Callithrix jacchus: one gene and its partners. The protein of the gene in region 2 purifies or fractionates together with the protein of the main gene of each other region. This does not show direct contact. Links are inferred from orthologs where the notes say so. Each region holds a gene or a part of one and is shown on either strand. Other genes may lie near its edges.

Region 1 (5,241 bases), on a different chromosome or scaffold from region 2:
CAAGTCACCAGGGTCTCCAAATCCAGATTCTCAGTTAAGGCAGGAAGGAAAATAGGAAGAAAGAGTAACAGATGAGGAACTGCTTTCAGAGCCTGCAGCACACAATCATCAGAGCAGGCCCCCTGGAGTGGCTCCATCTCCCTTCACACAACACAGCCCAAAGGCACCAGCAACAACAGCAGTGGCATCAGAGTGACCTCTGGAGGAGGCCCAGCTGGGACCCGGTGGCTGAAACAGCAGCTTGTCATGCACAGGAAAACAGGGCCAGCCTGCCCTGTTGCTAAGTCATTTCAGACTGTCTGAAAAGCTGCGAGAGCAGGATTTTCACTTAGCACTGTAAGGGCCTGCCATCTTAAGCTGCATCCAACACTCCAGGAGCTAGGAAAGCCATCTCCAGAGGAAAAGCAGCATCTGCTATGGTGTGTAAGGAAATGGCTCTGCTCACTCACTTGGTTGATTCTTAACGGGATCAATACAGTCATTTCAGAGTTCCATGCAAAAACCTGACCAAACTAGGGAATTAAAAATCAGGAAGGCATGGTGATTACTGCAAAGGGAACACAAGGTGGGTTTTGAGGGGGTTCCAGTAATGTCTGTTTCTTGATCTGGGTAATTCAGGTTGTGTCTGTTTTGTGAAAATTTGTTGAGCTGCATCTTTGATTTGTGCCATTTCCTCTCTATATAATTCTTTTAAACAATTAATGTCAAGAAGACCAATCTGAATTTTATCACTAAAGGCTAGTAGTGTAAAAACCAGTAAAGGCAGGGGGCCCTTCTTCATAGCAGTATGTGGATTCCTGTGTTTTGTAGCTTGAATAAACCCTCTGAGGAATACGGCACTAAAATGATCAGCTGAGTAACAAAGCAGGAAGGTAATTACGGTCCGAAGGTGACAGCTGAACCATCTCCCGGCATGGGGCGCTGCCCACAAGTGGATGGCCATACAAAGGCAAGCCCTGAAAACTGTCGTACTGAAACCTCCCTCCACCAACATCATGACAGGGTCAGAAAACGAGTGACGCTGCAATACCGGCACTTTTGTCACTTACGCGTGCTGTGACCTTGAGCCGGTTATCTTACCCTTTCTGCCTCTCTGGGTCCCCACCTCTAAAACGGGGTTGATGATCCCCCTTCTAGCACCGCCACATCTAATGGTTATGAAGATCTTGTAGATAGAAAAGCACCTCCTAATATATTCTTATCTCCCAGGAATGCCACTTACAAATAATTTTTTAAAGAAAAAAATCCGAAGTCATTAATTCCTACAATGGCCACACCCAAAGTCAATACGTGTAAATTTTTTCAAGGAGAAAATTGTGCAAATAAACTAAATTAGAACTGATCAGACCAAAGGCCTATAATCTGAAAATGGAGGGTTATTGAGATGTTCAAATAAGACATTACACTATTGAAATATCGCTTGTTCTTGAATTTTTGGAAATAAAATATCATGACTTGCAGCTCACATTTTTTTTTCTTTGTTTTTTTTAAGCTGAAAGGAAAAAATCAAGTGCTTTAAAGTTAAACAAAAGAACCAGGTCTGCAACTACAGTCCCCACCCTGCAGCCTTTTGTTCTGGGGACAAGTGGCCGTTTCCAACTGTAGAGGCAGATGACAAGCATTTATTTATTTATTTTTAAATCTAAAACAAGGTTTTTCTTTCGTCTTTTATTGGGGAGGGGGAGCGGAGAACGAGGGCTGCGTGAACGCCCTTTGTCCGCCTCGGGCTGCCGTAGAGACCGCAGTGCGGACTGCACCACGCCCACCAACCGGTGTCTCCCGGAGAAACACTTCAGCACCACCCCAGGAGAATAGAGCGCGGGCTGGGGCTGCGGAGGGTCCCGGCGACCTCTGTCAGGGGCGAGGGGAGGGCCGGGACGCTAGGGGATAAAGGGAAAGGCAGAGACCAGAGCTGCCCACCCAGGGACTCCCAGCGCAACAAAGCCAGGCAGAGGGAGAGGTGGGGACGCGTGGCCCCCGCCAGCCGGAGGCCGGGGCAGAGCGCACGCCCCGACAGCCGAGCCCGACTGGGGCGCCGCAGTGTGGGGGGGGCAGGTGCGTCGGGCGGTCCGGGGGCACTGCGGCAGCTCGGGTGGGGCTGGGGGCGGGTCTCTCGGTGCGCCCGAGGCTGCGCCCGTCGGACCCTCACGACCCCGCCCAGGGTCGCGGGCGAACCGCTATTCGGTCTCCGCAGAGAGCGCCAATGGTGCACGCACCGGGCGAGGAGCTGACCTACCCGCTGACGTCTCCCCCACCGACCCCCTTCAAGCTACCACTCCAGAGGCTGGGACTTTTAAAAGCAGCAGCCCCACCCCACAACTTGGGGTCCCATTGTCCTTTCTGAGAGCTGCAGCCAAGGCCCCAGGGGCGGTAGCGAGGCGGGCTCTGTCTAGTGGCAAAGCGAAGGCGGTTTTGCATCCCAGCATCCCGGGGGGGGGAGGGGGGGGAGCGGGCGTGGCCCTAGGACTAGCCTAGTCATTCTGAGGAAAGAAAGGATCAGAAGGTTTGAAATCGGAAAAGGCGTTTCTCAGGGTCTGAGTTAGCCGGTTGAGGATGAATCCCACGCGGGCCCTGGCACATGGGACTTCGGCCCCCGATCTGCGGTTGTGGGGGTCCCAGCCTTTTCCTGAGGCCAGAAGGGGGTTGAAAGGAGTGGTTGCATCAGGTCTCCTCGACCCTGCTGCCTCCTGCAGTTGCGGCTTTATTCTGGCCTCTGCTCCCCTGACACCTGCATTTCACTTAGCGGGAGAGGCGGTGGCCAACTCAGCAGAGGATGCGGACCCAGCGTGGTGACAGATCCCTCAAGGTTATTGGGAGACTCCCCCCGGGTCTCATATCTAGTCATTCGGATTATTCTTCTTAATTAGTCCGGAAAAGAGTCTGGATCAAGTATGGAAGGTGGTGGGGAGAGGCCTGGGTGCGCGGCACGAGGGAGGAGCGCGGTGACCGTCGCGCCTGGGTGGGGTCGTGTTTGCGCCTCTCTCAGCGCGCGTCCCTGGGGGCGTGGGGCCACTTACCGAGCTCGATATTGCCGATGGCGCGCCGCAGGTGCTCCTCGGTTACGATCTCGCCGACGACCACCAGCAAGTAGAACTTGCTGTCAAGGAAGCGGTGTGACAGGCTAGGCGAGGTGGACGCCGCCGGGTTGGCGATGCTGCCGGACGGCTCCGGCTCGGTGGCTTCCACCACCACTGTCGCCATCCTGCCGGCCGCTGTGCCTCAGCGAAGTGTCTCCCTCTGGCCGCTCCTCTCCTCTGCGGCAGGAGAAAGGATTATCTCCGAAGGTGCTGTCTCCGCTCCGCCCCCTGCGTCCCCCCTCCTCTGGCGCCGCGCGCCCCACGCCGCCTCCCCCTCCGCCCTCTCCTAGCGCCGTGGAGAGTGCGCGGCGGAGAGGAGCGGAGAGTGAGAGAGGGCGGGGAGGCGGCGCTGCTTTTATATGGAGACTAGGCAGGGAGCCGGGGAGGAGGAGGAAGAGGAGGAGGAAAGGACCACCCGGCACATCCTCACGCAGTGGCTGCCTCCGCTCTTCCAGCCGTTGGCCCGGGGCTGATGTCATCTGCAGCAAATCATCTCGCCCGCGGCCCGGAAGCTGGAGGGACGAGGTGTGCTGACAATGGTCGGGGTAGGGCCGAAAGCCAAGGGGCTGGGGAGCCCCCTGGGCTCCTGCTACAGCCTTGAAGGGGGAAAAAGCTCCCAGCCTATACACCCCCTGCCACGTACACACCCACTGCCCACTCCACACCCTCACCCTGTCTGTGCATGGGAATGGGATGAGTTTCCATTTTCAGAGTAGGGGTCTTTCCCTTGTCCGAGGTGCACTAGTCAGGCCTTTGCCTCGTGTGCCATCTATGATGTAGCCAGGTTCTCAGGAACTGGCATAGCCACAATGAGCAGACTCGGGACTGTGGGTACCCCGCCTAGGAAGATGGAACCTGTCTTTTCTTTGACCTTGTGGCTTTAAGAAGACGAGTTTACTGATATTTACCAATATCAGTATTTACCACCTTCACTTAAAGAATACCTCAAAGATGCAAAACTTAAGCCTACTGTTGTTCAGGCTTTGGATTCTACTCTGCCAGGGCCAGGGGTGAAAAAGTACTGGCTTTGTGGTGCCCATGGGAAATGAGAGAAATGCAGGTGCATTATCTCAGATACCGATTTCTTTCCTTAATATACTGAACAGATAGTCTCAGGAATTACAGAGAATAAAGAGAAGATACTGTCTCTACCCAGCAGGGTTACAGTGACTATAATGTACTTTTCAGTTCCTTGGTGAACACACAAGCAAATTTATCTCATGTGACGATGTCTTTTAAAATATATGTAGCATTTGGAATTTTTATTGCCTTTGTTTATGTTTAGAAGAACTCATAAAAATGTGTTGTTGTTTTTTTAAAGGCAGCCTATTTACAACCATTTCTCACAAATATACTGATTACAGCTTTTGTCCCAGAAAAGGGGAGGAGGAAAGAACAAAATGTGCAGACATAATACCACCATTAAAGATAGGGGATTCGAGCTTTAAGGGAGAGGAATAGATGGAAATTAGTCAACATAGCTTTAGTACAAGAAAGCATATTAGTAGAATATAGATGATAAATACATAATCACCTAGATATTCTTAAGATTTCCAAAATAACCCAGTGTCTTAGGTGTTAGCTGCCATCACTTACTGGTTATGTACTCTTTGCTCTTACATGTTTCCTGAAACCCTGGCACGGGAGACATCTGGGTAGCCAAGGGCTGGGGCAGGGGGTCCCATCCAACATGTCAATCTGATCAATACAGAATAAAAATACTGTCTGGCCCGCAGTATTTGGGATCCGTGACAGGCTCACTAGAGAGTTGCATTCACCAGTAAATAGATGAAGTGTTTCCAGATCATATTTTGGTTAAGATACTCAATTGCTGTTAGAGAGGTAAGCCCATCACCAAAGCCCATAATCAGGGTGAGGGGCAGGAGATATGGTGAAGAGCACTGTTTTCCAAAAGTCATCCATTGGATTCCAGCCTCCTGTAGTGTGTTTGTTTTTCCTTTCTTTGAACCACTCTTACTTTTCTGTATCTATTGTTTTCCTTTACTTGGTTTATTTCTTTTACTAAAATTTATTTTTAAATACAATTCTGTATTTCTATATAAATGGAAACACTAATATCACTTATTAATAGAAAGTATCCTTAAAAGCCAGTGCAGTGGCTCAAGCCTGTAATCCCAGCACTTTGAGAGGCCAAGGTGGGCGG
Region 2 (4,674 bases):
TATTTGGGTGGCGTGTGCCTGTAGTTCTAGCTACTCGGGAAGCTGAGGTGGGAGTATGGCTTGAGCCCAGGAATATGAGGCTGTAGTGAGCTGTCATCACGCCAACTGTGCTGTAGCCTGGGCAACAGAGTGGGGTGTCTTACACACACACACACACACACACACACACGACATACTTGTTACTAGTGCTTTTTTGTAAGAGTTTATCTAACATGGCATTTTAATATGGTTTTAAAAATATTTCTTTCCAGTTAACAGAAGATGAAATTGCAACCATTCTTAAATCTACATTGAAAGGACTAGAATATCTGCACTTTATGAGAAAAATACACAGAGATATAAAAGCTGGAAATATTCTCCTCAATACAGAAGGACATGCAAAATTGGCAGATTTTGGAGTGGCTGGACAGCTAACAGTAAGTTAAATTTAATAATTTTCTAAACACTTGGCTAATTTGTTCAGCTTTGATTGTAACTAAACTTTGATAACTTTTTGAGGGGGAATGGAAAGAAATGTGTAACTTTTTTGTTTTTGTGGAGAAGGAACCCTAATCGAGCCAAATTCGAGTATTATTTAATTTATAATTTAGGATAATTGAATATGAAAATTTGTAATCAAAATGCTTTACTGTTCTAAAAGGGAAGCTAGTCAGCTCATTTGTGTAGCTTTCAGCATTATAGTATCTTTAAGGATTGTATTTAAGTGATGGTAGTAGAGATAAGTTACCTGTGGATTCTTGGTTGTTTTCAGAATTCAGAATTCCTAAGTATGTCATAACTGGTTGAAATTTTAGCAAAATATAGTCAATTTCTGATACAATATGTGGCATTGGAGGTTTTGACTTTTTCTTAAAGAATGTTTGGCATACAGATTTCCTTTGTGTTTTTGTAGTAGCATTTATGGCTACGTAACATTATTGCAGGATACGATGGCCAAACGCAATACTGTAATAGGAACTCCATTTTGGATGGCTCCTGAGGTGATTCAAGAAATAGGCTATAACTGTGTTGCTGACATCTGGTCCCTCGGCATTACTTCTATAGAAATGGCTGAAGGAAAACCTCCTTATGCTGATATACATCCAATGAGGGTAAGAAAATTATGATTTGCTAAAAATGTTAGCCTTATATAAGTGTTGCAGTTTTGTAATGTCAGTGTAAGTAAATATAAACTAAATACGTTTATTTAAATTTGTTCTTTTTAAAAATGCTAAAATTATCTCTTAAAGATTAGTAACTGATAATTTCTCTTCCTTCTGCATTCTAAATTGTGGGAAAAGAAGTGAAGGCTCTGTATATGTCTACAGTCACTGTTCTACCCCCAAAAATATACCTGTAAAGTTTTTGCTTGCTTTTCAGTAGAAGAAAGGGTTGGTAAATCCTCTTTGCTCTTCAGTTTATTGCTTCTCGATGTGATAGTGGAAGAGTTTGAAGTAATCTGTTCTTACCCACTCCGTAATGTATACCTGTCTCTCTCTCTCTCTATCTCTCTCTCTCTCTCTCTCTCTCTCTCTCTCTCTCTCTCTCTCTCTCTCAGTGTGTGTGTGTGTGTGTGTGTGTGTGTGTGTGTGTGTGTGTGGTTTTTTTTTTCTACCCTTTCTCTTTGGTCTGAGGATGATATTAAGCAATCCTAATTTCTAATATTGCTATGCACCTGTAAAGGAATTAGGCTTTTTTTTTTTTAATGAATCCTTATTCAGAAAATGGAATTCCTTTGTTGAACATCATTATATGTTTCTGTGATCGCTGCAGGAAAATTTTTGAGTTTGAAATATATATCTTACATATTCAAGTCCAATTGCCTATGTTTCAAGATTTGTGATGATATACTTTTTAGGTTTATTACTCTGTGAATCATATAGATAAGTTCATCATCATAGATAAGTACATTTATCTTTGTATACTTATTGCCCTCTAGTGGCTGCAGTTACCTCAATAAGGATATAGAAATGAAGGGAAGAGTGTATGTATGTGTAGAAAAGAGAAGATAGTGTCATGGTGGCTGGAGGAATTTGAAGTAAGTAGGAAGAAGAAGAATGCATTATTTTAGGCTATCTGAAGATGAATAAATTGGAATCACATCTGATATTATAATGCTATTGTGGGTTAAATTTTGATAATATAGGTAATAGTGTATTATATGGAAAACATTTAAAAATCTGTCTGTTGTATTGAAACATTTTTATTTTTTTATTTTATTTATTTTTATTTTTTTGCCAATCAGTTTGAGCTTATGAGGTTGCTCAGGTTAGCCTTGAACTGATGACCTCGCCTTCGCGAGCATTTTTAAAGAGAGTTTTTGTTTTCTCATTCTTTTGAGACAGGGTCTTACTCTGTCACCCTGCCTGTAGTGCAGTAGTGCGATCATGGCTCACTCTAGCCTCAACTTCCTGGGCTCAGGTGATCTTCCCACCTCAGCCTGCAGAGTAGCTGGGGATATAGGTATGCACTATCATGCCCAACTAATTTTCTGTTAGTAGAGACAAGTTGTCGCTACATTGCCCAGGCTATTTTCTGTTAGTAGAGACAAGTTGTCGCTACATTGCCCAGGCTAGTCTCCAACTCCTGGGCTCAAGCGATCCTCCCACTGTGGCTTCCCAAAGTGCTGGGATTACAGGAGTGTGCCCAGCATAGAATTCTTTGAGTAATATAATCGTATACAATATGTACCATCTTCCTTGTGTATGTAAATTCCTTTTGGTAAATGAAAGATAAAAATAGCATCAATTGTTTTAAAATAAAATGAAAAATAACAAGGTCAGCAAGAACAAAAACAGGAACACAGAGTCTTACTTCTTCTCTGATCATTAGTTATCTGTGGTTATTTTAGTTAGGATGTTTGTAGAGTGATCCTCAAAGTAGACAAGTTTGTGTTTCAGTCCGTGAGGGTTACTAAATTACCCAAGGCAACTTAGGTAGGTTCCAGAGCTGGGATTTAACCTAGGACTTCCATTATTACCATTCTGCTTCTTCCCTGTGTAAATCTTATTTTTCTATCCAAATAGTTCAATATGTTAAATTTGACCCTGTGCTACTTTCTCTAGCAGAGAGGAGAGAATTGTAATATGTGACCCCTTCCTTTAAGGATCTGATAATATTACCTGAGAGTTTGAATGAATACATAATACATTGTTAAAAATATACCTGATGATAGTGTTTCTCTTAGGAAAAAAAATATATATATATTGCAAATTTCCTCGGATGCCTTGCTTACTGTTTTTTTTTTTTTCAAACCAGTCTAAATCCTACCATTTTTTAAAGTCTCAACTCAGATTTTATTTCTGGATAGACCCATTCTTGACAGCTGTCGCCCAAGTAAATTTCTCTTTTTCCTCATAATTTGTATATAGGCAATTTTTGACAGTCCAGTTCTTTGGATAGTTAATCAAGTGTTGCCTTGTACATTTCCAAACATAATATAGTTTATCTCCTATTTGAATGATGGCATTATTTAACTTTTTTTGTGTTTGTGAGCTGCCTCACAAATTAGAGTATTGAACTGCAAGTATTGGGGGTTGTTAAGATCATGTAACAGATACAGTTCTATCATGGGCAACAAATACTGCCTTTTATTTGTCTTGAAATGACGGGTTCACTTGGTTCATTTTTGAGAAAATGTCTGTCAAATACCCATCTGTGTAACCTTAGTTTTCTGTCAGTTATTCTTCAAGTAAAATCGGTGTTCTTGAAAAGAGCCTTGTAGTTTATTTAGCTTGCAGCTCAGTCATGCAACTACTTTTTTTCAGATTATTATTGTTCTTTGGTATGTGGGGAAGTGCATTATGCATATTTTCCATTTTGTCATGTAGAATACTACAAAATATATATTCACGTGTGGAAATTTAATAAAGTTAATAACTTTTACTGTTTCTTCAAGGTTTACAGTAGTTTGGTGGGGGGCATAGTACGGGCGTGAAAAGAGCTGTTCAAGAGAGAAAAAAAATGTAGTGGGTCCAGCTAAAATTGGTAATTGAGAAATTGTAATGTAATTAATACTGGTTTATGGGCCTTCCTGTGGTAGCATACTCTGCTGCGCAGTAGAGTGCATTATGGCCTTGATATGCAGGGTTTGGGTTTTAATGAATTAGTGTTTTTAAAGGATGGGGCTACAGGGAATTTAAGGATGCTGCTGAGATACACTTCAGGTGGTTACTAACAGGGCACAGTCTGGAAAGAGAGAGAAATTCTGGAAAGAAAAGAGAATATAAGGAAATGGAGCAATCATGGAATAGTGTTCTCTCCATGCTTGCTGCATAGCAGTCATCTGGGGAGCCCTACCCTAAACAGATGACATCTGAATCTCAAGAGGTTAGAGAGGAGATAAAGTGGTTGTTAAGATATGAGAAAGCTGGTAGGATATCACAGTATGATAAGTAAGTGGAATGATTTTCTTTTTTAACCAATATTTTTTTTTGTACTGTAGTAACTTTGTGAAATTAATATTTTATTCTCCATTGGGTAGATTGGATGAAATGGATAAGATTATTTGTTAAGATGACATAACTTATCAGCGGCAGAACTGAGATATGAATTCAGTTTGATCTGTATTTTTGCCTAGACACCAAAGAAATATCCTCTGTGTTAATATGCCAACTCTATGCAAGTGGAGGAGTGGCTAAAAAATTAGACATTTTTAAACCATCTAATCACAATATTTACTAATTTAAAATCTGA
Region 3 (5,356 bases), on a different chromosome or scaffold from region 2:
TTACAGGGACCTCAGAGGTCTTCTAGGAACGCCCCTTTGTTTTAGAGTTGTGAAAAGTGAGAACCTGGATCACAGGGCTGGTAAGTGACAGAGCCAGCTGAGAAATAAGAAATGCTATTTTTGTGCTGCTGAAGGGTTTGCACCCAATCCTGATGGCCTCCCCTCTACACAATCTGGCTTTGGTGAAATCAACTCTCCTCTGCCTCGGGACACCAGAAAAGTGAAACAATGCAGTCTTCCTCAGAGGGTTTCACCAAGGGATAAAAATGCCTCATAGTCAACAAAAGTGGGAGATCAGGGAGAGAAAAGACAGCTACCTGTAGGTTTCTAACCATTAAAAAGGCAGCCATTTGGGAGAGAATGCTTTGAAAGCATTTGAGCACAAAGCAAGGACGGCACTGAGCGGCTCTGCCTTCTGTTGGGATGGATTGCTGGCTGCGGGTTCAAATAGAAAACAGCCCTATTTACAGGCACGGTTAAAGAGCAGCCTATCCTCTCCTCTTAATTCTTAACTATTATTGTAGTGGGCCTTTCCCTCCAAACACTGGGAATCGTGATCTAACCTATCATGTGAAGTGGAGTCTCCTAGTATTCTTGGAAATATCGGCAGCCCTGCTCATAAGTGCAAATTTTCTGAACAAGAAATATCCAGTGTTTCTTTCAATGGTTTACCCTTTTAGAGCACTTACCATAGTGCTGGGTAACATTCTAAGCACTTTTCACACTTATCACAACTCAGTGAGGGCTAGACATGGTGGCTCATGTCTGTAATTCTAGCACTATGGGAGGCCAAGGTGGGAGAATCACTTAAGCCCAGGGGTTCAAGACCAACCTGGGCAACATAGGAAGACCTCATCTCTACCAAAAAAAAATAAAAAAATTTTTTTGAGATGGAGTCTTGCTCTCTCACTAGGCTGGAGTATAATCTCGGCTCACTGCAACCTCCGCCTCTTGGGTTCAAGCGGTTCTCCTGCCTCAGTCTCCTGAGTAGCTGGGACTACAGGGGTGCGCCACCACGCCCAGCTAAAATTTTTTTTGTATTTTTAATAGAGACAGGGTTTCACCATGTCGGCCAGGATGGTCTCGATCTCCTGACCTCATGATCTGCCCACCTTGGCCTCCCAAAGTGCTGGGATTACAGGCATGAGCCACCGAGCCTGGCCAGTCTCAATCTCTTGACTTTGTGATCCACCCGCTTTGGCCTCCCAAAGTGTTGAGATTACAGGCATGAGCCACTGTATCCAGACTTCTTTTGTTTTGTTTTTTTGAGACAGAGTCTTGCTCTGTTGCCAGGCTGGAGTGCAGTGGTGCAATCTCGGCTCACTGCAACATCTACCTCAATTCAAGTGATTCTCCTGCCTCAGCCTCCCGAGTAGCTGGGACTACAAGTGCGTGCCACCACATCCAGCTAATTTTTGTAATTTTAGTAGAGACAGGGTTTCTGTTGTCCAGTATGATCTTGATCTCCCGACCTTGTGATTCACCCGCTTTGGCTTCCCAAAGCACTGGGATTACAGGTGTGAGCCACTGCACTGGGTCTGAAAAAAGTTTTTTAATTAGGCAGGCATTGTGGCACTTGCCTGTGGTCCCAGCTACTCGGGAAGCTGAGATAGGAGAATTGCTTCATCCTAGGAGATCAAGATTGCAGCGAGCTGAGATCATGCCACTGCATTCCAGCCTGGGCAACAGAGGGAGACCCTGTCTCAAAAACAGTAGCAACAACAAACTCAGTGAGATGAGAACTATTATTTTCCTCATTTTACAGAAGAAATGGAGGGACAGAGAGGTTAAATACATTGCCAAAGGTCACACAGCTCATCTAAAGTGTCTGGGTCCAGAGGCCTAACTACCTCCCCAGGTGTCTCCATTCAACACTATGGTCTCGGAGATACTCCCTCAGCCTCTTCTAACTTGACTTACAGACACAGGTGTGAACGTTTGACAGTCCCTGTGAGCAGGGTTGCTGAGCATGCTGATGGGCACTTGGAAAAGTACATGAAGCCAGGGAATGAAGAAAGGCCGAGGGCCTGCTCCCTGGTGGGCTCTGAGTCACGCAGGTCAGCTAGGCCTGGACGGCTCAGCCTGTCACCGTCAGCTGTCTCTCTGTGCTCTGCTGCACAACAGGGCCAAGCTCGGAGATGGGAACTGCGATTTATAAGCTCTCGGGCAAAATCAACTTTCAGGTGAAGAAAACTCACATACCTGGTAGGTTACTCTTGCTTTGGATGGTCTGAGGGCACCAGGGCTGCTGGGCAGAATCAGTCCCCTTGTTGGTTCAATTGTTTGTGCCTTTGATGTTACAGAAAGACCCGGCTGGATTTCAGGGCTAGGGATCAATGCTTCAGCCAGGCCTGCTATTTTGGTTTCTTGTCATCTGAGTTCGTTTATAAGCTATTTCACAAGTAAGCTTTATTTCTTGTAGACAAATGTGCTTTCAAATTTCGCATGAGTTAAACAAAGGATGGAGAAACAGGGCTCTGCAGCTTCTATTACAGGACAGCTCGGGAGGTTTCATTTTCCAACAGATGTAACCTTAACGCCAGCGTTATTTTGACCAGTTATAAATATCAAGGACATGTGTTTTGCAGTTCAGATTCTTCCTAAAAAGACTCAAGAACTTTCAGGATAAAGCCATGGCTCCCAGGTCTTTCTCAGGAAGCAACAGAAAATGCATACAGGCTTGCAGTCCTGGAAGGAGACTTGTGGGAGGTGCCCAGGTAACAGCAGAGCACCTATAAAATGCTTGGTAGAGCCTGGGGCTTCCTGTGGCTTCGGGACATGGGTAGATCTTTATTATTGACAAAATCTAAATAAAACTGTAGCAGGAATTAAATATCAAGGTGGGGCAACGTGGCTCACGCCTGTAATCTCAGCACTTTGGGAGGCTGAGGTGGGAGGATTACTTGAACCCTTGAGTTTGAGACCAGCCTGGGAAACATAGCAAGACCCCATCTTAAAAAAACATTGTTTGAATTAGCTGGGTGTGGTGATAGGCATCTGTAGTCTCAGCCACTTGGAAGGCTGAGGCAGGAAGATTGTTTGAGCCCAGGAGTTAAGACTGCAGTAAGCTACCATGGTTCCACTGTACAAGCAGCCTGGGCAACAGAGCAAAACTCTGTCTCCAAAAAAATAAAATAAAAGACAGCCTGGGCAACATAGGGAGACCCAATCTCTACAACAACAACAAACCCTAGCCAGGCATGGTGGCGTGCACTTAAGGTCCCAGCTACTAGGGAGGCTGAGGCAGGAAGATCGCTTGATCCCAGGAATTCGAGGCTGCAGTGAGCCATGATCGTGTCACTGCACTCTAGCCTGGGTGACAGACTGAGACCCTGTTTCAAAACTAAAATAAAATAATAAAAGAAAATAAATTAAATATTAAGTAAAAGAGGGGATTTCCCATTTTACTCTCACCAGTGGCTGATAAATGACCAACCCCAAGGCTAGTAAGGGCCTCTGCAAGGTTGGGAGTAGAAAGGAGGGAGCTCACAAGGAGGGGTGTATGTGTGTGTATGAGAAAAAGCGAGACTAGACAGAGAGAGACAGTGTCTGTTTTTAGGGTGGGAAGGGGTGGAATGGACTCAGAGAGGAATTCTACCTGATCTTAAGCCATGACCTGCCTGTTTCTTAGTGTGTGTGGTGAGATGCCTGCCTCACCCTAAACTGTGGAAAATGTCACCAGGTTATGTTGACATTCTATTAACTATGTTTGCCATGTGACCATCTTACTACCATTATCTAGAGGCTCTTACCAAACAAGTAAGTAGTTGGTATTTCTAGAATAGCTTGCCTGACAGTAAGGCACAGCATTACCATATTTCCTCATCTCTAAGGCACCATCTATTGTGACATACACCATCACTTTTTGTACCACTAAGAAAGGAAAGTGCTGTCAATTTCAGCATGTTGTGCCATTGATGATAAGATGTATGATCATTCCAGAGATATTTACATGTTAAAAAAAAGAGTACCTTTTAATATAGATGACATTCAGTTGATGGCAGTTCAAAGTTCCTTTTAGTCTTTCTATAAATCGGTGTTCCATGTAAGAGTATTTCATTCTATTAACTATGTTTATGGGCAAGCATTGTGGCTCATGCCAGGAGTGCAAGGCTGCAGTCATGCCACTGCACTCCAGCTTAGCTGATGAAGTGAGACTGTCTCTAAGAAAAACAAAACAAACAACATTTACAATAAGGGATAAATATCTCCCCTTTTTTTCTTGTTTGGAGACACGGTCTTGCTGTGTTGCCCAGGCTGGAGTGCAGTGATAAAACCACGGCTCACTACAGCCTCAAGTTCCCAGACTTGAGTGATCCTCCTGCCTCAGCCTCCCGAGTAGCTGAAACATGCCACCACACCAGCTAACATTTTGGTTTTTTTTAGTAGAGACAGGGTCCCTCCATGTTGCCCAGGCTTGTCTCAAACTCCTGGGCTCAAGCAATCCTCTCATCTTGACCTCCCAAAGTGCTGGGAATACAGGCATGAGCCACTATGCCTGGCCATGCATGTGTTTTGTTTTCACTTTTTTTTTTGAGATGGAGTTTCACTCTTGTTGCTGAGGCTGGAGTCCAATGACATCATCTCAGCTCACTGCAACCTCTGCCTCCTGGGTTCAAGGGATTCTCCTGCCTCAGCCTCCCAAGTAGTTGGATTACAAGCATGCACCAGTACACCCGGGTAATTTTGTATTTTTAGTCGAGACAGGATTTCTCCATGTTGGTCAGGCTGATCTCGAACTCCCAAGCTCAGGTAATCTGCCCGCCCAAAGTGCTGGGATTATAGGTGCGAGCCACCACGCCCCGCCTGTTTTCACTTTTTTAAAGTAGGCTTTTAATAGGAGAAAATAGTGGGCCTGATGTAGGCTAGACATTGTAGAGATAAAAATAACTATGATGGAGAAACAAAAATGCATCAGAAGAATAAATGTGGGCAGGGCGCGGTGGCTCACTCCTGTGATCCCAGCACTTTGGGAGGCTGAGGTGGGTGGATCACGAGGTCAAGAGATCGAGACCATCCTGGTCAACATGGTGAAACCCCGTCTCTACTAAAAATACAAAAATTAGCTGGGTAGTCCCAGCTACTCGGGAGGTTGAGGCAGGAGAATTGCTTGAACCCAGGAGGCGGAGGTTGCAGTGAGCCAAGAGCACGCTATTGCACTCCAGCCTGCGTAACAAGAGTGAAACTCCATCTCAAAAAAAAAAAAAAAAAGAAGAAGAAATGTTTTCTGAATTGCTGGTGAATTCCCTCTTAAAATACTGTTTACCAGCACACAGCTCTCTAATTCAATTTGTCTGTTGGGTTTATTACCACGCAGACACACATAAATAATAACATAATAACTTTATTCTGTTTC
Region 4 (5,226 bases), on a different chromosome or scaffold from region 2:
ATTTCTTTTTCTTTACTAACACAAGATTTCTACTTCAGAATTCATTACATCATAAATGCACTTTTGTATGTTAAAAATTGTATAAAACAAACTTTTTTTTACAATACTGAGGTATGTAGAAAAATGTACTGAACTAGTTATCTGCTTCTGCAAAATTGTGCAAAATGCTGTTAATTCATCTTCAAGATGATTGTGTTAGGTATATAAAAGAAAAACGATCCAATTTCAGAATGATCACCTGAGTCACTGCTGGAGAAATCATCTCAAACTCAGAATCAAAATAACTAAAATAAACCTACTAGAAGATGACAAAGAATTCGGCAAAACTCTCTTTTAAAAGTCCTTCACTTAAAAATAAAATTTTTAGTAATTTAGAATAAGTCAAATTATTTTTTTAATCATAAAGCACAAGTAGACTATAGATTCTAAATCAGTCTCCTCAGTGTTGAGCTGTGCATATACGAAGGTTTCCATCAAAGCAAACAATTTGCCTTTGACTAAAACAATATTAAAAAGGAATCAAACACCAAATGTCACCTCCCAATCCTCCCCATTATCTGTATCTTTAAAGTGAAACACACAATGAACTATTGGGCATTTAAGTACCAGGCATTTTCTCACAACAGTTTGTTTACTCAACCACTCTCTGGGCTTAAACCTTCCCTGAAATGAAAAACAAGCCTTTTCGTTAAAGGCTTCCTAAGGGAGGGATGGATGGGGCACGTAGAGAAAGGGCTTCTTTCCTCAGACAGGATTGTGTCTCTCTTACACCATTTGTACATTTTCTCTTTTTCCCTTACTAGTCTTATCATTTGTACTGGCAACACAAGAACAATGTGTTCCATAATCATAGCTATAATTCTCCAATACCCCCAAAGAAGGAAATATATGAGTAAGTCACTGTGTAGGGTTTTTGGTTGTTTTTTTTTAAACCTGCTTCTCCACTATTACTAGTCTCTTACTAAAGCAACGTAACAACTTCCCCAAGGAGAAACCTTCAAACTCTGTGGACATTTCATGGCCTAAAACTGGTTGTCAAGGCTTGTAAGCACCTAACGGCAATTTACACAGTTATCCAGTAGAGGAAACGTTCACTGTAAACACAGCCAGTCAAAAGATAAAAACGAAATACACACACACACACACACACACACACACATCATAGAGGTTTACATTCAATTATCTCAAGATTATGGCTGAGTTAGGACATTTCACGATTCCTCAAAGGTTTTCCCCCAGCTAAAACTATGTAAAATCACACAACATACATTAACTTGCAATAAAATACATTCACTGCACCTTGTCTTAAAACCAAATCCTTACCCAACAAGTAGCTCACTCACTTTTCTATTCAATAGGCCGGGCGTGGTGGCTCACGCCTGTAATCCAAGCACTTTGGAGGCCAAGGCGGGCGGATCACCTGAGGTCGGGAGTTCAAGACCAGCCTAACCAACATGGTGAAACCCCGTCTTTATTTAAAAAAAAAAAAAAAGAAAGAAAGAAAAGAAATTTGTAAATGCACTAAAAAACTTGCAATGCAGTTATCCAATATTAATCTCGTAATTTCAGAATATATTTTAAATTCCTAAAACTAAAGTTTTTCCTGTGGAAAACAATGTAGTTGGGATTTCTCGTTACACAACAATAAAGGATTTCACTGTTTCTTTTAGCACTAGAATTGCTATACACCTCACAAAAATTGTTCTCATTCAACAAACTGAACTACAAGACACTGACTTCCAAAAGGGGACTCACTTTACACTTAACTAAAGATAGGAAGGAACCTTTCTATTAGATGTTCACACTCTTTCAGTATTCCTTAAGTACAAGAAAAAAACAAAAACCTGTCCAGTTTCTAACTCTCTTTCCTAAAGTACACCTTATATTGACAAGCAAACGGATCAAACAGCCCCTGGGATTGTTCCAGTATCACCAAGTCAGACTGAAAACTTATCACCGGCAGTGCTACAAAATAAACCTACAAAGTTCCAGAGCTGGCTGACCTTAGCCTTCTCAGGGTCTGTAGGAAACCGCAAACGTAAAGGCAAAAGTCACACGTACTGAAGGCTTCTCAGCAGAGGAGCTCAACTGAAGGGCTAAATAAGAGCAAGCACGCGGGTGGCACACTGAAATGTCGTAGAAGGCAGGAAGCCCCGCTACTATGAACCTACAACTCTGCTTTCGCGGCTGACGCATCGCTCCTGCCCGCACGCGCTTGGGGCCGTGCCAAGAGCACCGGGCAGCCCTCGCCAGGCACCTCCCGGGCTCCTCCGCCTCCCCAGCGCGCCCTACACCTGACAGCCGAGTTCTAAACAGGGAGGAAAGGTGAGGAGAGACGCCCTCCGCGGAGCCCTAGTCCGGCTGCACCCAACTCTCCCCGGGCCGGGGCCAGAGTCGGGAGACGGCTCTCACTCCCGAGGGGTCCCGCGCCACTGACAGCGGGAACCGGAGACGGACGCAGCTTGCGCCACCTCCAGAGCCCACTCCCCGCCGCAGCCCCTACCGCACGCCCGCGGGTGCCCACCCACCCACGCCCCGCTGAAGCACGCCGTCGGCCTCAGGAGCCAAGGACTTGGGCCCCGGCCGACGGCGGCGCGGGCGGGACCGAACACCCGGGTGGCGCCCCCGCGGGACCGCAAGATGGCGGCGGCGGCGCCAGGGCCCGGCTCCCCTCCGCCTCGCCTGGGCCGGCGCGCGCACTGCAGCGCGGGCGGGCGAAAGGGAAAGAAGCCAGCCTGAGAGCCGGGCAGGCAGGCAGAGGCCGCGGCGAGGCAGCAGCCGGGAAAGGGCAGGCGCCCGGGCGTGGGGGAGGGGGCGCTCCCTCGGGCCGCGGCCGCCGACGTGCTCTCCGCGCCCCCCGCCGCCGACAGCCGTCCGCGTGCCCCATCCCGCCCGGGGGTGTCCCCATCCTGCCTACCTTTGAATTTGAGGTCTGTGGGCGGGTCGAGGACCAAGATCTGCTCATGCTTCGCCATGGCCCCGGAGGCGGACGCCATCGGAGAGACAGCGCAGAGCGGGGGCGCGCCCGCGGCGACGGTTTGCTGGCTGGGGGCGGGGAACGACGGTGGTGCCCGCTCGGCCAACCTCTAGGACGGAGCCAGGCTCGCCGCTTCCGAGCCCTGACGCCTGCCGCTGTGTCGCGGGTACGGTGGGCCACCCGCTGGGTCAGCAGCTCCGGATCTCACAACTGACTCAACCCCACACCAGCCGCCACGGCCACGCGCACTGCGATCTTCGGCGCCCCACGTGATGGTCTCTGCGTTGCCTACGTGCGCGCCCCGGCGACCGAGAGCCCCTCGCGCTCGTCCCGCCCTCCAGGCCTACCTAACGCGGCGCCGGGCTACTGCGCCTGCGCGCTGAGGGCTCGCCGCGGCTCCAAGCGCAGCCCAGCTGTCAAGGGAACGGGTGTGGAAAGAGGCGGGGCAAAGGCCCGCGGGACCGACGCGATGCGCAGCCGCAGGCTTGAGGCGCAGTCCTCTGTCACGTTGAGCTACGAGTACGAAACTAGAGAACCTGCTCTGGCAGCGCATCACGGTCTTCCAAGTGGGAATGCCTAGGGAGGAGTAGTGGGGAAGCGCCCACTCACTACAACTCCCAGCATGCCCCTTGTGGGGCGGGGCCTTCGCCGAGGGCCTGGTACTTCGCGGTGCTTGCTGGGAAGTGTAGTAGTGGCTGTTTGTGGGCGGGAAGGTGAGCGAGGTCCTTTTGAGGCGAATGGGGTGGGGTTCGCGGACGCTAATTTTGGCTCAGAGCACGTCTAGTTTGCGCTAAAAAGGAAAAAACTTTTGAAGGCGGAAACGAGTTCCCAATGTTAGAAATATACTGATAAAATCTGCCCTGTGGAGAACAGGCGGGGATGTGTCCGTTTGCTCTGTAATTCTATCCATCCCTCTGTTGGCAAGACTGCATTCCCTGTAATGATCCCATCCAGCCTCTCCTGCTTCCTGAGTTCTCTCCAGTGATGCAAAATCAGATAAGGAAGCACACCCCGTCTAGGAAGCAAACGAGTCGCAGGGGAAATATGACAAAGCACACAAAAGCTAGAAACAAAAGTCAAAATCTACACCATCGAGCCTACGAATCTTCAGTTTTGATTAATGATGGACCCAAACCAACACAGTTGTCACGTTCACATGTTACAAAAGAAATCCATCTGCATCACTTATGATAGGCTGTAGTAAACTGAACCAAATGAGAAAAATCCCAGCAGCAAAGTTGCTGACAAATCTTTAGCCGATTGCCAAGGTAATCCGGTACAGGAACGTCAAATGAAGCGAATGTGCTGTAAATAAACCTTTATTGTATTGTATGATACTGTCTGAATTTAAATATCTAGGAAGCGCCACAAAATAAAAGACATATTGATTGATGCTACTGCCGTAAAGCAGCACAGTTTGTCTAGAAAATAAATGAGACAAAACAGCAGTCAAGACGCAGGCACCAAGTTTTCATGTGCAATCCAGGTATCAGAGTCCACCCAGGAACAGCCTACTGGAATCACTAACCTGGCATTCACAGAAGATGGTGCCACCCAGGAGGAATGCATCTTCAGCCTTGAAGTTCCTGGGAGGATAGAGTGCTTAAGAAGTTTGAAGCATATTCTAAATTTACCTTTCCTGTGATTTCTTTCTATTTGCAAAATTTATTCTGAAATGTCGATTATCATTAAGGCAGAATACCAAAAAAAATTGTATATGAGTTAAAGTTGATTTTGTTTTAAGGAAAAAAAAACTAAAGTTGACAATCAGTCCAAATAATAGTGTCCCACATAAGTTTAGTTGTGAATTGACAACCCTAAAGGCCCTCACAAACTCCAGTATTTTGCCAGCCTAAGATCTCTCCTCCATGGGCAAGCTAGCCTAGGCTGAACCGGTCCCTCCATAGCTGGAGGGACACTTCTCTTACCAGAAAGCATTTGTGAATCCCCCATGTGCAAACAGCCAACTAGCAGAATAGCATGCAGAGGAAATTCCCAGCAACTCCCCTACGGAAGGATGAATGGTCCACCCATTCACCATGGGTTTAATGGGAATCCCGAATTGGATGTATTCCAGTTTCCCAGTCTTATCATTAAGAAATCTCTACCCATTTGAGTCCTCTATCATTGGAATTAACTGTTTTTTTCTCTTCTTAGTATTGCTTCAAAAATCATACAGGTGTAGTCTTAAAATATACAAGAATTTAAAATTCTGGTATTCTAAGAATATGTGAAACATCTTGGGATTA

The links.
Region 1: the proteins of STK3 (region 2) and MAP1B purify together in Homo sapiens (affinity purification with mass spectrometry; 4 studies listed by BioGRID and IntAct, with this or other methods). This does not show direct contact. The link is inferred for Callithrix jacchus from reciprocal best matches to the Homo sapiens genes STK3 and MAP1B.
Region 3: the proteins of STK3 (region 2) and RASSF3 purify together in Homo sapiens (affinity purification with mass spectrometry; 4 studies listed by BioGRID and IntAct, with this or other methods). This does not show direct contact. The link is inferred for Callithrix jacchus from reciprocal best matches to the Homo sapiens genes STK3 and RASSF3.
Region 4: the proteins of STK3 (region 2) and VAPA purify together in Homo sapiens (affinity purification with mass spectrometry; 4 studies listed by BioGRID and IntAct, counting the BioPlex papers as one, with this or other methods). This does not show direct contact. The link is inferred for Callithrix jacchus from reciprocal best matches to the Homo sapiens genes STK3 and VAPA.

What each region holds. Positions count from the first base shown.
Region 1 is NC_133503.1:139,053,752-139,058,992, forward strand, and holds the start of MAP1B (microtubule-associated protein 1B), read right to left. Parts: upstream 3,259-5,241; 5' UTR 3,202-3,258; coding exon 3,018-3,201; intron 1-3,017. UniProt on the Homo sapiens protein: Facilitates tyrosination of alpha-tubulin in neuronal microtubules. Phosphorylated MAP1B is required for proper microtubule dynamics and plays a role in the cytoskeletal changes that accompany neuronal differentiation and neurite extension.
Region 2 is NC_133517.1:98,134,529-98,139,202, forward strand, and holds part of STK3 (serine/threonine-protein kinase 3), read left to right. Parts: intron 1-251; coding exon 252-416; intron 417-923; coding exon 924-1,091; intron 1,092-4,674. UniProt on the Homo sapiens protein: Stress-activated, pro-apoptotic kinase which, following caspase-cleavage, enters the nucleus and induces chromatin condensation followed by internucleosomal DNA fragmentation.
Region 3 is NC_133510.1:54,777,202-54,782,557, reverse strand, and holds the start of RASSF3 (ras association domain-containing protein 3), read left to right. Parts: upstream 1-2,098; 5' UTR 2,099-2,138; coding exon 2,139-2,205; intron 2,206-5,356.
Region 4 is NC_133514.1:53,008,852-53,014,077, forward strand, and holds the start of VAPA (vesicle-associated membrane protein-associated protein A), read right to left. Parts: upstream 3,259-5,226; 5' UTR 2,997-3,258; coding exon 2,918-2,996; intron 2,326-2,917; exon of another isoform or gene 2,054-2,325; intron 1-2,053. UniProt on the Homo sapiens protein: Endoplasmic reticulum (ER)-anchored protein that mediates the formation of contact sites between the ER and endosomes via interaction with FFAT motif-containing proteins such as STARD3 or WDR44.